2 linked regions of the Tamandua tetradactyla genome follow. The protein of the gene in region 2 interacts with the protein of the main gene of each other region in a pairwise test. Links are inferred from orthologs where the notes say so. Each region holds a gene or a part of one and is shown on either strand. Other genes may lie near its edges.

Region 1 (7,009 bases), on a different chromosome or scaffold from region 2:
AATCTTGGAAAAAAAAAAAAGAATAACTAAAGAGACAACAATTAAATGCAATACAAGACCCTGGACTAGATCTAATAATGGAGAAGAAAATGATATTAGGACATATGAAAAAATTGGAACTTACACTGAAAGCTTTATATCAATGTTAAAGTTCTTCAACTTGGTAACTGTACTTTAGGTGGTTACACAATGAATACCCTTGTTCTTAGGAAATGTACATGGAAGCATTACAGATTCAAGAAGCATGATACTCTCACATGTTTAGATAACTGGTAGAAAGACTGATAGACAGAAGGACAAATATAGAGAGTGATACAACAAATACAGCAAAATGTTAAAATTGGTGGATACGGGTATGGAGCAGGGGAGGGCATGTGGAGTTCTCTCCCTGTTTGGTGTATTATTTTTGCAATTATCCTGTTAAATCTGAAATTATTTCAAAATAAAAAGCTTAGGGGAAAAAAAATGCCCAAAGAGATGCATAATTTCTATAGTTTCATAATAAAGAAGAAAATTTTATTTCTACTTTTAACCCAACATACTCATTTTATCCAAATCTTAACCAACCAAATCACAAATATGTGACAAAACAGATAACCACTACAGAAACGTTTACAAATGAATTTCACAAGAATCAGTGAAATTTCTGCCGTCTTTGTTTATGAATGCCTGATTACAGAAAAAGTTTGGAAAAAAATTTATAGTACCACTCATGTGCAACTAATTTTTATGAAGAAAAGCAGTGATTTTAAAGAGTTGTTAAGGTCAGTGTTGTCACTCTAAAGTAGAAATGAATAAAAATCCCAAACTAAAACTCTTTAAACATTAATTGCTAAATTAACATTTTTAAATTATCTTTTACTAAATTTAATTCCTAAATCGCTAATCTATTCCAATTATCTAATCTAAGGAAAATATAAACTTAAATCCCAGGGTTATAAACACAGAGCTGCTTTTCAAAGATATTAAGTTATTTAAACTAATACTTTTATTTTGGACCACAAAAACTTGGTTTTCCTAAACAAAAACAAAATAAGGTAGACTTTCCTAAAATGTGTTATATTAAGAGTTTCCATGTTATTCCTTCACATGCATACTAATTGTCTAAGCTTGTACTAACTATGTACTTTATGCTGTAATTACAGTCCTGGAAATAACCAATATAATAACCAATGAAGCGCACATGTTCCATAAAAAAAAAGAAATGATTTGGCTATAAATATTACTGATGACATAAAAGGGATTCTAATCACTCCATGAGTCCTGATTACTGCCAGACAAACCTTATCTCAAGGCATTAAACTGAAAAAGCAACTACCTATTTCAGTTTTTATAACAGGAAAATACTGAATTCTGTCATTTGATATCTTGCTGTCTTCCTACTCACGTTTCTAAATTTTCCTAAAATGTAAAGTAATTTATATTACGTACACATCTTCTAGCAATACCCAGCATTTAACTTAACTCTAAAGACATTTATGGAGGAAATAAAGAATGGTATCACCGATTTTTTAAAAATGAGAAAAGATATCATTAGATGGGAGAAAAGGGGTGCTGTGTCCTAGGGGAGAGAAAATGGGGTATGACATAAGAAAATATTCCATCATTAGCACCAATCCACATATAAAACTCCAAAGAGCCAAGGAGCATCCAATCGGAGCAAAAACAAATATTTAGATTGCCAAGGTCCGGAATGAATTATCAGATTCAGAAACACACTTTTTAAAAAGTCAAGGATAAAAACTAAGAGAGCTTAAAATCTTTTCTCTGAAGCGCTTTTTAATAAAAATGAGTGAACTCTACAGAATATACAATACATAACGATGGATCTTGAACACATGCAAGTTAGTCTAGCAGCCACCGAGCCTAGGATGATGTCTTTCTAAAGCGACCTTAATTTCCTTAAGGGAAGATGGATTGGACATCTGGTTGGTAGTGGGGGGGGGGGGGGGGCACAAGAAGCTACACTTTATCTTCATTAGAAATGGTAAAGGGCAAGAGGATCAAAACATTATGAGAGAAAGAGAGGGAGAGGAGTGGGAGCAAGGGAAGAGGGAGGAGGGGGACAGAGGGAATCCAGTTTCAAACCAGGCCAGTGTGGGCTGCAGAGAAGAAACCAGAGAAAAATGGGCTTCTGCTCCAAAACTGTGACAAGATCGAGGCATCACAAAAGACCAATATAACACACACCCCACACCAGGGCACAGAGAAACACAACCCACAAGGTCTTCTCCCGGTGGGCCATAGGGGGCGGCGGGGGTGGCGGCGGCGCGAGAGCCAGACCCGGCATTCGCCTGGAAAGACACCATGTGCAGCAATTATGCAATTAGGGAAAATAGCAAAAGATCAAGCCTGGCACTTTCCGCCGTGACATTTATCCCGTACTTTTGCAAAGACTTAGTTCCAGGATGCGGCTAGAAGAGGGCAGGGGCTGGGAGGGCGTCGAAAGATGGGGAACTGAGAACCGAGGTGGGTGGAAGAAGTGCAAGGAAGGGAAGGGGCAGAAAGGGAGGAGGGCAAGGGGAGGAGGGGGAGGGGTGACTAGGGCGAGAAACGGGGGCAGTAGGCTCGCGGGAGGGGACACAAGGAATGGGCCACGCCAGAGAGCAGAGAGAGGGGAATCAGGGCGCGGGAGGTGTACACAGGGACCTGCGAGGTGGAAGGGTGGCCGGAGTGGGAGGGTGGGGGGCATGGGGGAAGGGACGCCAGCCCGGACCGATACCTCAGGGAGGGGCATCCGCTCAGGTCGCGGGCTCAAACCCAAGCTCGGGGAGAGAGGGAGGCCGGGATGCACGAGGGGATGGCGGCGCCAGAGGGAGGTGAGGCCCCAGGGACCAGCTGTCCCTTGTGGGCCGTCTAGTCACCGAAACCTGGACCCAGGCACCCGACGCCCGGCCACGCCTGCCTCCGCGACGCTCGCACCCGCCTGGACTCACCCTCAGTGCCGCGGCCGCCACCCCCGGCCGCCCCAGCTCTGGCTTCCGAGGCTACTGCCCGCGGCTGCCGCTGTGGCCGCCCCTGAGTCCTGGAAAGTGAAGCCACCACCTCAGCGAGCCGCTGCCGCCGCCCGGCCGTCCGCGCGCGCGCCCGCCAGTGCGCGAGCTCGCGCGCCCGCCCGGGAGAGACCGCGAGAGCGCGAACCCCACGTCGTCCGTGCCGCGCCGCGCGCCAGCCCTACCGGCCCCGCTCTCCGCCCCTCCTCCACCCGGCGCGCGGCCGCGAGGGGGGAGGGGGCGCGCGCGCACGGGCCGGCTGTCCCGCGGGTCGGGCGAGAGGGCGGGGAAGCCGTGCGGAAAAGTTAAGTGACGGCCGAGTCCCGCGTGCAGGCAGTGGGCTGGGATGGGCGAGGGGAGTCCGTGGAAAAGGAACGGCAGGGACGGGAGAGGTAGGGAAACCGAGGCTGGCGCGGGGCGTCTTGAGGGAGGGGGCGCGGAGACCTTGACGGGCACGCGCATTAAAGGGATATGCTGGCTGAGGGGTGAAGGTCGTCCTAAAAGCTTGCGACTGAGGGGGATGTTGGCAGCAGGGAGGCGTTCTCGCCCCACCCCCACGCACCGTAGCCCTTGACTTCACCCCCTCCTCAGTGCATATGCGAAATAGCCTTCGGTACTGACCCCGTTGACACACTAACCCGTACTCAAAAGCTCCGTATTGGCCTGGAAAGTTCTCCCAGGCAAAGGCAAACTCTTCACATGACACTGCAACACAGAGGTCCTTCTGCCTTTTGACTTTGTGTGACCCAGAATGCACACCGGTTAGTAGCCAGAAATTCCAGGCCTTTTAGCCATGGAATATTGGGAGTGGGGATGGGGATGGGTGGGTGCTGCACTTTTCCTACTTCAGGCACACTTGAATGGTTTGAGTGGCTTTAGGGAACGTTAGATTCCCTTTTAATCTTCACCCCAAATAGCAATTTGAAAAATAAAAGTGTGTCTGCTATGCAAACTCAGCTTCCAGAGAATTTCTCCCACCCCAGCCCCTCTTGCAAACTGACTGCTGCTCCTAAACATTATATGCAGTCTCTGGAGCTGTATGGGATGGCGTGCTCTATCCAGACAGGACTGAAGATAGCCTCCCAAGCGTAGGAATAGACCTACTGGACTTGAACATTATTGCCCACTTAGGCACAGAATTAGATGAGGGAAACCAGCAGACCAGGTGCCCTAAGCTCTCCATGGAGCAATGAGCAGAGTCCAGAGTGACTCAGGCAACCAAAAGAATTCAGTTCGGTAAAACCAAAGAAAAAACAGGAGCAAATCAAGAGCCACATACATGTCTAGAACTGAAAATCCTTTTATCCAATGCCTTCTTCAAGGATTGGCTGTTACTTTATAACATCCCTGACAACTACCAAAAGCAAATATTGACCTGTAGCCTCAGATAAACACCACTGAGCAAAAAGTGGTGTGTCCCTATGTATCACTCAAGAACATCAAAAGGCTCTATTCTCTTTTCTGTGCCTCTCTCAGTGCCTCCTCTATTCTAAAGACACCAGTCTTATTGGATTAGGGCACCTTGATTCACTACAACTTCATCTTAATTTGCTTATATCTGCAAAGATCATATTTCCGAATAAGTTCACATGCGCAGCTACAGGGGGTTAGGACTTCCACATGTCTATTGGGGGGACATGATTCAACTCATAACAACCTCCTACCTGAGCTTTTTCCCCTGCCCACCCCTCCACACACACACAGCAGCCTGAGTGATCATTTAAAGCATAGGTTAGATCATGCCTCGCCTGTCTCAGAACTTCCAGTGTCTCCCCATCCTAGAACAAAGGCCAAAGTTCTTACAATAGCGACGTAGCCCTGCATGATCTATCTGCCACTACCAAGAACCCCTCTGATCTCACACAGTACAGCATTACTTCACCCTCATCTCCCTCCAGCCACACTAGCCTCCTTGTTATTATGAAACACATCAAACATTTCTCAGCCTCAAGATTTCTGTATTTACTATTCCCTATCTCTACATATTATTCCCTCCCACCCCACCCCCAGCACTTCCCATCCTCCTCCCCGTTTTATTTTTCTCCATGATCATCACCTGACATAATAAATATTTAATTTAATTATTTTAGCCTTCCCTCTTCTCCTCGCCCACAAATAAGCTCCTTTGGACACGGATTTTGTTGGTTGGAGTTCACTGTTAAGTTTATTCAATAAATACTGTTTGAGTTAATGACACTGAACTTTTCCAATTGATGACATAATAGATGTTGCTCTGATTTCTCCAGTAATAATAATCAGCATTTATTGTGTTCTCATGTTGTGACAGGTAAAGTTCTAGGCACTTTATAATACTAGTTCACAACCACCCCATGAGACTTACCCTATCATATAGATGGAAACATTGAGATGAGAACATTGTACAGATAAAAACATTGAGGTTTGGAGGGATTGAGTCAGTTGTCCACAGCTAGTGGGAGGCAGAGCTGGGATTTGAAATCAGCAGTTTGACTCTGGAGTCTAAGTTCACAACACTTTGTCATGAGTCCAGTGTTACAAACATAGATTTTTACTTGATTTTTCCCTGTTCCTCTCCCCTGAGACTCAAACTTGGTCTCCTAGACAAATAGCTCACTTTCCTGCTCTGATTCATCAATCCATCATGATGAACTCACTCTCTACTTTCCTACACTTCTTATTTCTAATCTTGAATATAGAGCCTACATTTTCCCCCTAGAATTGGCAGGTGGAAAAGTTTTTTGAAGGGCCTTTCTTATAACTTTTATTGCTGCCAACTTTGTGAGTAGATAGAATCACAATTAGTTTTCCAGTTTGACTAGAAGGGAGATAGAAAAGACCTCTCTGGGGGAAAAGGCTAGATTTCATAAAACACACCACATTGGTAAAATACCAACTTCCATTCTTTTTAGGCATCCAGTGATCAGTGGTTGATAAAATATTTGCTTCCCCTGGGGAGGGAACATCATATTAGTTCAGATTTACCAAAAATTAGGACCCTTACAAAATGAGATGGAAGACAATGTTTTCCTTCATCCTGGCTTGAAGGGAGCTATAGGCACCTGCAGTCACTCTGAATGCCATGGATACTTAAGAAGAGCAGAACTGATGTGGGAAAATTGAAACTCCTTAGGGCTGAGGCCCTAGGGACCCCATTATTTAGTTCAGTACTGAGATAGAGGCACATAGCAAGTGTTCAACAAATGTTTGTTGCATAAATGACTGAATGAATTCCTAATAGAGAATGAAACAGTGCTGACTGTCACACCTGGTTTGGGACTACCACCTGGGCCCCTATATATGACTGTATACATGGCACACTGCAAAACTTCACTGGGCACCATTCACATAAGTTATGATGCAAACACAGGGATCTGGATGCTACTTCCATATTGTAGCCCCTGCCCATGTGTGGTTATAAATCTCCAGGAGGTTCCCGATCATCACTGCCTCCTGTGTTCACATTCTTTTGTGGTCCCCTCCCACATTTACCAGGGTTAGTATAATGCTGAGAAGTGATGGTGTATCACTCTGAGATTACCTTATAAAAGACATTATAGCTTCCATATGGATTCTCTCCCATCTATCCTCCACCCTCTCCCCCTCCCTCCCTCCCTCCCCTTCCCTCCCTCCTTCCCTTTCTCTTTTCCCCTTCCTCTCTCTCTCTCTCCCTGTCTCTCTCTCTCAGATCATTTACTCAGAGGGATGCCAGCTGGTATACTGTGAGTAGCCCTATGAAGAATCCAAGATGGCTAGAAACTGAGTGCATGTGCAAGCAGATCCTTCAGCCCCAGCCAAGACTTCAGATTACTGAAACCCTGGTCAATTTTTTTTTTTTTTTTTTTTTGGCATGGACAGGCACCAGGAATCAAACCTGGGTCTCCGGCTTGGCAAGCAAGAATTCTGCCTCCTGAGCCACTGTCACACCGCCCCCTGATCAACTTCTTGACTGAAACTTCAAGAAAGATCCTGAATCAGACCACCCAGCTAAGCCACTCTTAAATTCCCAACCCGCATATACTGTGAGATAATAAATGTTT
Region 2 (7,446 bases):
CATTTACACTTATCATGTTCATTTCAATTTAAACAAAAAAGAAGGCTGGTTGCTGATTTTTATAAAATGTACTCTTAGAGCATAAACTGTAAGGTAAGGTAAATTTCATGTAAATCTTTTTTTCTGAAGAAACTCCCATTTTATATTTTAAATTAGAAAAATGAACAGTTTCCTCAATTTCATTTTTATTTTGCTGTATTGAGATCTATAAATAAATGTATGATTTTTTGCACAAAAAAAAGGTATATCTACATCCATAGAGTTTTAAAGTAAGGGGTAGATAACTGTTTATTCTCATGGTTTCCATGAGAAGAGATTTCCTCAACCTCCCACACTCCCACCTTTCTCTAGAAGTGACCTAAAGGGGGTTGAAGCAGGAGCTGAGCAGGCTTGGCCTAGCTCCTTGTCTTTTTTCCCTCTTTGAATCTGTTTGCAGAGGGAATGATTTCTCAGCATCTCCCAGCTACATGTAAGCTTAGCCAGTAGGTTCTGAAGGGGAGAGGTAGGCATACCTCAAGGGTTAGGAACGTGTTCAATTCAAGGGAAGGCAAGCAAATCAACTGACGATTGCTAAACCATTCCCTCTAACATGGTTTATAAAACTAATAAAGGTGACATTTTGGTCCCAGGGTTCTGACTCCTGTATCTTTCTACCGGTTCTGTATAGGTTTTGAAATTGGCAAGGAGAATTTGTATTGTCCTAAAATTTCAACAAGAAAGAAAAAATAATGAGTTTGCTTTGTTTTTGTTTTTGTTTTTTAGGTACAAAGAGTAAGTAAAGTGAACTATTTTTTCCTTTCCTTACCACTGTCAACAAGAGGAGAAATGTCCTACATACACCAAAATTCCTCAATTGTACTGTTATCATGCTGTTAACTTTTAATTTTGAAGCAATAAAATCCATAATAAGGACCCATATTATATTTAGAATCCTAAACGATGCTATTAAGATTTTTTTTCTAACATAGGAATTTTCAATCTTAATGAGTTAAAAATTTATATGAGAGGACTTCTGGGAAGATGGCCAAATAGAGTAGCTCAAGATTAGCCCTGCTTCAGGGAAAAATTAGAGAAGGGACAGGAGAGCGACTGAGGCAGCGATTCAGGAGTGAGGCTGACCTGGGAGAGCATTTTGCACCACAGAGGGCAGCCCTAGTTGCAGAGGCCGAGGAACTGAGAGGTAGAAACCTGGAGACTGGCGAGGAGACACAGAACCCATGGGAGTGCACGGACAGGAGCAGGGGACTAGGAAGTAAGCCGGGCCACATTCCTTGGGTGCATACCCTCACCAGTGCAGCCTCGTGACCGGTGACTCACCCCACACCCCACGCACCCGAACCCCGTCATACGCTCCCATTTCCCGGGCTCCAGGCACCCCCACCCAACCATCCCTCAGTGCATGTACCTGCCCCACACTTCACCCCAACTGCAGCACATTTCACCTCTCCTGGCACCCCTCCCGAGCACTACCTCCCCCTCCCTGTTCCCTGCAGGCTGTTGCCAGCGCATAAAGGCTGCCAGCACTACCCTCCATACCCAGGCTACCCCTGCCCCCCTGCCCATAGTGTCGTACAGCTTCACCCCACACCCCCTCAAGCTCTGTGCATCAGTTTAAGCACTCCTAGACCCAAGCACAGACAGAAGATAAACAAGGATATAGAGAAGTTAAATAATTTGATAAATGAATTAGACCTAACACACATATACAGGTCAGTGTACCTCAAAGTACAAGGTTATACTTTCTTTTCTAGTGCTCATGGAACATTCTCCAGGATAGATCATATTCTGGGGCATAAAACAAGTCTTAATAAATATAAAAATAATGAAATTATTCAAAGCACTTTCTCTGATCACAATGGGATGACCTGGATCTCAATAACCACCAAAGGAACGAGAACATTCACAAATACATGGAGATTAAATAACACACTCTTAAACAACCAGTGGGTCAAAGAAGAAATTGCTAAAGAAATCAGTAGCTATCTAGAGATGAATAAAAATGAAAATACAACTTATCAGAACTTATGGGATGTGGCAAAGGCCGCGCTGAGAGGGAAATTTATTGCCCTAAATGCCTTTATCATAAAAATATATTTAAGCCCTCTAGCCTCCTATATACTGGAGCAGCTAGAAGTAAAAATCTGAGAGGATCGTATCACAGCCCATGACACACTCGGGGATCTGTCCTATAACCACTTGTTGAAGAGTGCTTTGAAAACTATTGCTTTTTTATTTCTTTGCTTTGTATATATGTTATACTATATAATTTAAAAAGTTTAAAAGAAATTACCCTTCATCCCATTAAAATAATTAATTTTTAAATATTCCTGTGGTGATAATTTCTTGATATACAACACAAAAACTCAGTGCTATTCCACCTCTCCTGAACTACAACCCCTTCTAACCTTTAATAATACCCCTCCTTGTTTAAAGAATGTACTTGTATCCCAGTATCTTCATAAATTTCAATCAACTAAGTTACACAAGGTCATAACAAATCTGCTATGATCTCAAATTACCTTTATTATTTATTTTTATATAGACACAGAAAAAAGAGAACACAGCATGTCTATCCCAATTATCCTCGTTTGAAAATTAGTGGATTCTTCGACAAAGTCAGCAAACTATGGCATGTCACGTGTATTTTTGTATGGCCCAGTAAATGGTATTCATATTTTTAAAAGGCTGGGGAAAAAATCAAGACTATTTTGTAACACATGAAAATTATATGAAGTTCAGGTTTCAGGATCAATTAATAAAATTTTAATGGATACAGCCACACCCATTTCTTTAGTATTACCTAATTCTTTTTTTACACTACAAAAAGAGAGTTCAGTAGTTGCAACAGACACTACACAGGCAATGAAGACAAAAATATGTCCTATTTGGTCCTTTACAGATAAAGTTTGCCAATCCCTAATCTATGTCATACACCATGCCATTCATAATTTTATAGTTTTACCTAGGAATTTTCTCCCTTTTCCCTCTATAGTCAGTGTACAGTCTCCTTAATAAGCTATTGGTCTCCAGACAAACATTCTTCATAGTCTTGGACATGGACCCCCTCCAGGGAATCTCCTTAGTCTAACAGCATCCCCAGTCATGTATAAACAAAAGGCGAGTAAGGATTGCTTTCCGAACTTAACCATGTAACACCTTAGAAGTTACAAATGCACAACAACAACAAAACAGAATCAACCTTCTTCATCATCCTTCTCCCTCCAAAGCAAGGCTAAAGAGGCTGTTCTCCCAGCTAGTGGCTTTCAAACTACCCTAACGAAGAATTAAGTTTTGTTACCTGGAACAAGTACTACTGCTAAAGTCCCTAAGGCCAAATAATAAGAATACAAATTAATGATCATAATTTTCTCAAGTATAATTTTATCAAGTTTTTCTCCAGATCTTTGGGTACCACACATACACACACACACAAAGTGATCAAAAAGCAGAGGATCTTTAAGAAAAAAAATAGACGAACTGTATTTAGCATGTGCGACCCTAAATTTTTACACTTCACATATTTGATTCTATTTTCCGCAAGTAAATAGTTTCTGGCTCCCACGATGAGAGGCTCTACATTACAATGTTTGTATAGCATCCCAACTCAAGACTGGAACAAGCTAGATTCCTTCCTCTCCAAGAAGGGTACACCAAAATTTGCTCATGATCTCTTTCAATCAACATTCTGCTCGCCAAGCGTTGGGAGCGGGGCAAACTGCCTTCTTCTCTACCAGCAGTTTCATACTCATCCTAGCACTAACTCCTCCCCAGCCCTACCACAACTCTACCCAGCACGAGCTCCTTCACAGCCCCAGCTCCTTCCCAGCCCCAATATCACTACTCGGCACCAACTCCTCCCCAGTCTCGCCACACCTCGATCCTGCAGATTCCCCCCCCACCCCCAGGCCCATCACCTCACCCCACTGTAACAAAGTCCCGACCTGCGGAGCTTCCAGCTGCAGAAAGGGTAGAGTGTGGAGTTCCCGTACAAGCACCATCTGACCTTTCAGAGAAACCCAAGTCACAGTCCCATAAGTGGAAAGGACCGGCCTTGGCTCGCACCAATAATGGGTGCGTACGGAGAGCTTGCAGCGGTCGTGCTCCAAGCGAGGCGCAAGGGATACAAAGGTGAGCAGCAGAGACCTGAAATACCAACTCTCCGACTCTCACTCCAGCGGGAGAGGAGTATCATTTCGAAAAAGCCCGCCAAACCAGAGGCGCGAGGAACAGCTCTTGAAGTACACGGGAGCGAGAATTTAATCCCTGAATGTTAAAAGGCTAAAACTCAAGTAGTCGGAAGTGACGTGCGAGCTGCGAATTGCAGGTCCGCCACGTAATTGGCCACCGCCTCAACAAGCCACTTTCTCTTCGGACTTGCCTGAAGAAAGGGAAAGTGTGGCTGAAAGCCCACAATCCGCCCCTGTCCCGCCCCCCGACTCCCAGCGCCACCGGGGAGCCGCGGAGGCTGGCCAGGGCCCTAGCCCGCAGCGTGGGCAGGGCTGTCTCGCCGGACCAAGAGGCCGTCCAGCGCCCTGCGGGCAATGGGCTTCGGCGCTCAACCACGCGCATGCGCGGCCCTCTTTCTCCAGAGGATTCCTCGGGTCACCTGCACGCCGGCATCTCCGCCACCTGCCCCTCCAGGTCCCTTCTCGTCCTTGACTCCTCCCACTGGTTCTCACCTCCGGCCCCATTTCTTCTCCTTCTTCCGCAGGCCCCGCTAGGCCCTGCCACGGCCGCCCGCGGACACCCGGCTTTCGCTCGACACGAGCCACTCGGCGCGGCGCGGCTTCCGCTTCCGGCGAGTATTGTGTCGCGCTGCGGGGCGGGGGCGGGGGGAGGAGAAAGGAGGGAGGCAGCGCTCCGGTGGCTCCGCGCCCCGCAGTCCCGGACCCGAAGCCGGGAAGGTAGGTGCTGTCCCGCCGCCGGTCCCAGACCCCGGGGCCTTCCCCGCCGGCCGGCTCCGCACGCCGCGTCCCAGCGCCCCGCGACTGCGTCACCGGTCCCCCTCACGTAACCACTGCTGCCTCCCCCCGCCTCAGGCCGGGGCGGACGTTTTGCCGCCCCGGCGACGTCAGCGCGTCCGGCGTTGCTTGGCTACCCCGTGGTTCCCCCGTCCCGCTGCCGCTCGCCTCCCCGGGTGAAACTCCGACGCCGTCACCGCCGGTCTCGGCTGCGTCATAGCAGCGGGCATCCCACCTTCACGTCACACCTCCTCACCTGGACACGCATCCTTCCCTCCCCCGCCAACCATGACGTTTCTTGCCCACCCCCTCCAATCCCTCTGCGCCAGATCTGGCGGGAGAACGTGGAGACGGGGGTGGGACAGAGTTGTGGACCACGCTCAGGAGAGGGTCGCAAGGTGGGACCTTGGACAGTGGTAGAAACAGAACGTCGGCGTCCCACAAGTTTGCCTGTCTACTGACACACAAAGCATAGAGGAAGAGGAAGGACCAACCCAGAGGCACCCAAGGCATCATTATGCCTGTAGCTCCAAGTCCTCTTCATACTTCCCTGACCCTTTATCCATTTCTTTTTCACATAACTTCTCCGTTCCCTCTGCCAGTCTAAATCCATCCTGGCCCCTAATGTTGCATACAGTTCAACCCCAGGTGAGGAGGTCGCCTAATTTCTAGAAGATTGAGGACTAATGTCTAGTCAAGGTTGGATTCCCATAGGTAAAGAAAAATCGTCTGACTGAACTTCGGTCCTGATGCTGGGGGAAGAAATTCATGTTCAAAGAACTTAACAAGCTCCTACTCCAAATTAAACATTTTCATATGTACCATCAATACATACAAGAATAATCTTTGGTAACTCACCCATTACATGTTCACTTGCCTCTCAGCAGATATACCTGCTAAATTTCCTTCCTTTATTGGGTCTTGGGGGGTGGGGGGAGGATGGACAGGATGAGTACAGAGAAATTATTCATGAATAGGAGTGTTACCATTTTAGGGATGGAGTAGCCTTCTGCTTTATAAATACCTTAGATGCATTTTCAGTTCTTTTGAGGTTTCACTTAAGGGAGGTTTTAATTACCTCTTTACTTTTCTTTCTCCGAATTCCCAACCACTTCAGAATTTATTACTTGGAGACACTATTTCCAAGGAATTAGTTATGAATAGCTATCATGAAAGTCATTGCTGAATAATTAGAGTAGAATCATCAGCTCTTTCAATAAGTTATTGGCTTTGGCTCAATATTGTACTTTCTAGTTGCCATGAATTTATCACTTTTTAGCATTTCTAAATACCCAAATTTACACGTACAGGAATGGATGTTCTGTGAATCATTTCATTCTAAGAAGAGGGCCCAGTTCTCTAAGCTATTCTGATAAAACAAAGAATAATTTCAAACTTTCTTGTAAAGGAGATACTACCCTCACACACCCATTCCATTCATTACTCTTTGAAAGAATGAGAAGAATGGTTGAAAATCAAGATAGACCCCAGTGAAATATAGTAATAAAATTCTTCTGTAACATTAACTTCAGATTTAATTTAATATCTTAACTCTAACGACAGCTTTTATTGTCACAAACTCCTTTCTCATCTGTTAGAATAATATGTCAAACTACGGATATATTGGTCTGGAATTACTGGTTCTAAGATATAAGTAGAATGTGCCTGCATCAGGAACACACTGCTTGGGTTGGGAGAAGCCTTTGTTTTTAACAAGAGAAAGCAGAGGTAAGAGACAGAAGATTGGGGGGAGGTGGGGAGTAGTCTGTTTGGCAAATAGTAAAAAAAAAAAAAAAAAAAAGATTTAGGTTGATGGCTGGGAGTCACAAGTTTGGAAATAGAGAAACAAAATAAAAGTTGAATCTAGAGGAAGAGAAGATGGGAAATACTAAGATGGGACTAAACTTAGAGATAGGGTTTAATGTGGGGGTAAATGTCAGACCAGGGATGCAAAAAAATTAAACCTTCAACTAATATTTTTCTTTTCTCTGTGCCCCCTCCCCATTCCCAAGTTAAATAATGGCAGAGACAAGTCTGTTAGAAGCTGGGGCCTCTGCGGCCTCAACAGCTGCAGCTCTGGAGAACTTACAGGTGGAGGCAAGCTGTTCTGTGTGCCTTGAGTACCTGAAGGAGCCTGTCATCATTGAGTGTGGGCACAACTTCTGCAAAGCCTGCATCACCCGTTGGTGGGAAGACCTGGAGAGGGACTTCCCTTGTCCTGTGTGTCGAAAGACATCCCGCTACCGCAGTCTCCGGCCTAATCGACAACTAGGCAGTATGGTTGAAATCGCCAAGCAGCTCCAGGCCGTCAAGCGAAAAATCCGGGATGAGAACCTCTGTCCCCAGCACCATGAGGCCCTGAGCCTTTTCTGCTATGAGGATCAGGAGCCTGTATGTTTGATATGTGCAATTTCTCACACCCATCGTGCCCACACCGTTGTGCCACTAGATGACGCCACACAGGAGTACAAGGTGGGAAACCTGA

What was found. The genes of interacting proteins can lie anywhere in the genome.
Region 1: the proteins of TRIM39 (region 2) and UBE2E2 interact in binary tests that used the Homo sapiens proteins (3 or more experiments, as listed by UniProt). The link is inferred for Tamandua tetradactyla from reciprocal best matches to the Homo sapiens genes TRIM39 and UBE2E2.

Annotation. Positions count from the first base shown.
Region 1 is NC_135341.1:65,248,682-65,255,690, forward strand, and holds the start of UBE2E2 (ubiquitin-conjugating enzyme E2 E2), read right to left. Parts: upstream 3,076-7,009; 5' UTR 2,937-3,075; intron 1-2,936.
Region 2 is NC_135331.1:85,289,526-85,296,971, forward strand, and holds the start of TRIM39 (E3 ubiquitin-protein ligase TRIM39), read left to right. Parts: upstream 1-4,336; 5' UTR 4,337-4,904; exon of another isoform or gene 4,905-5,810; intron 5,811-6,559; 5' UTR 6,560-6,689; intron 6,690-6,973; 5' UTR 6,974-6,980; coding exon 6,981-7,433; intron 7,434-7,446.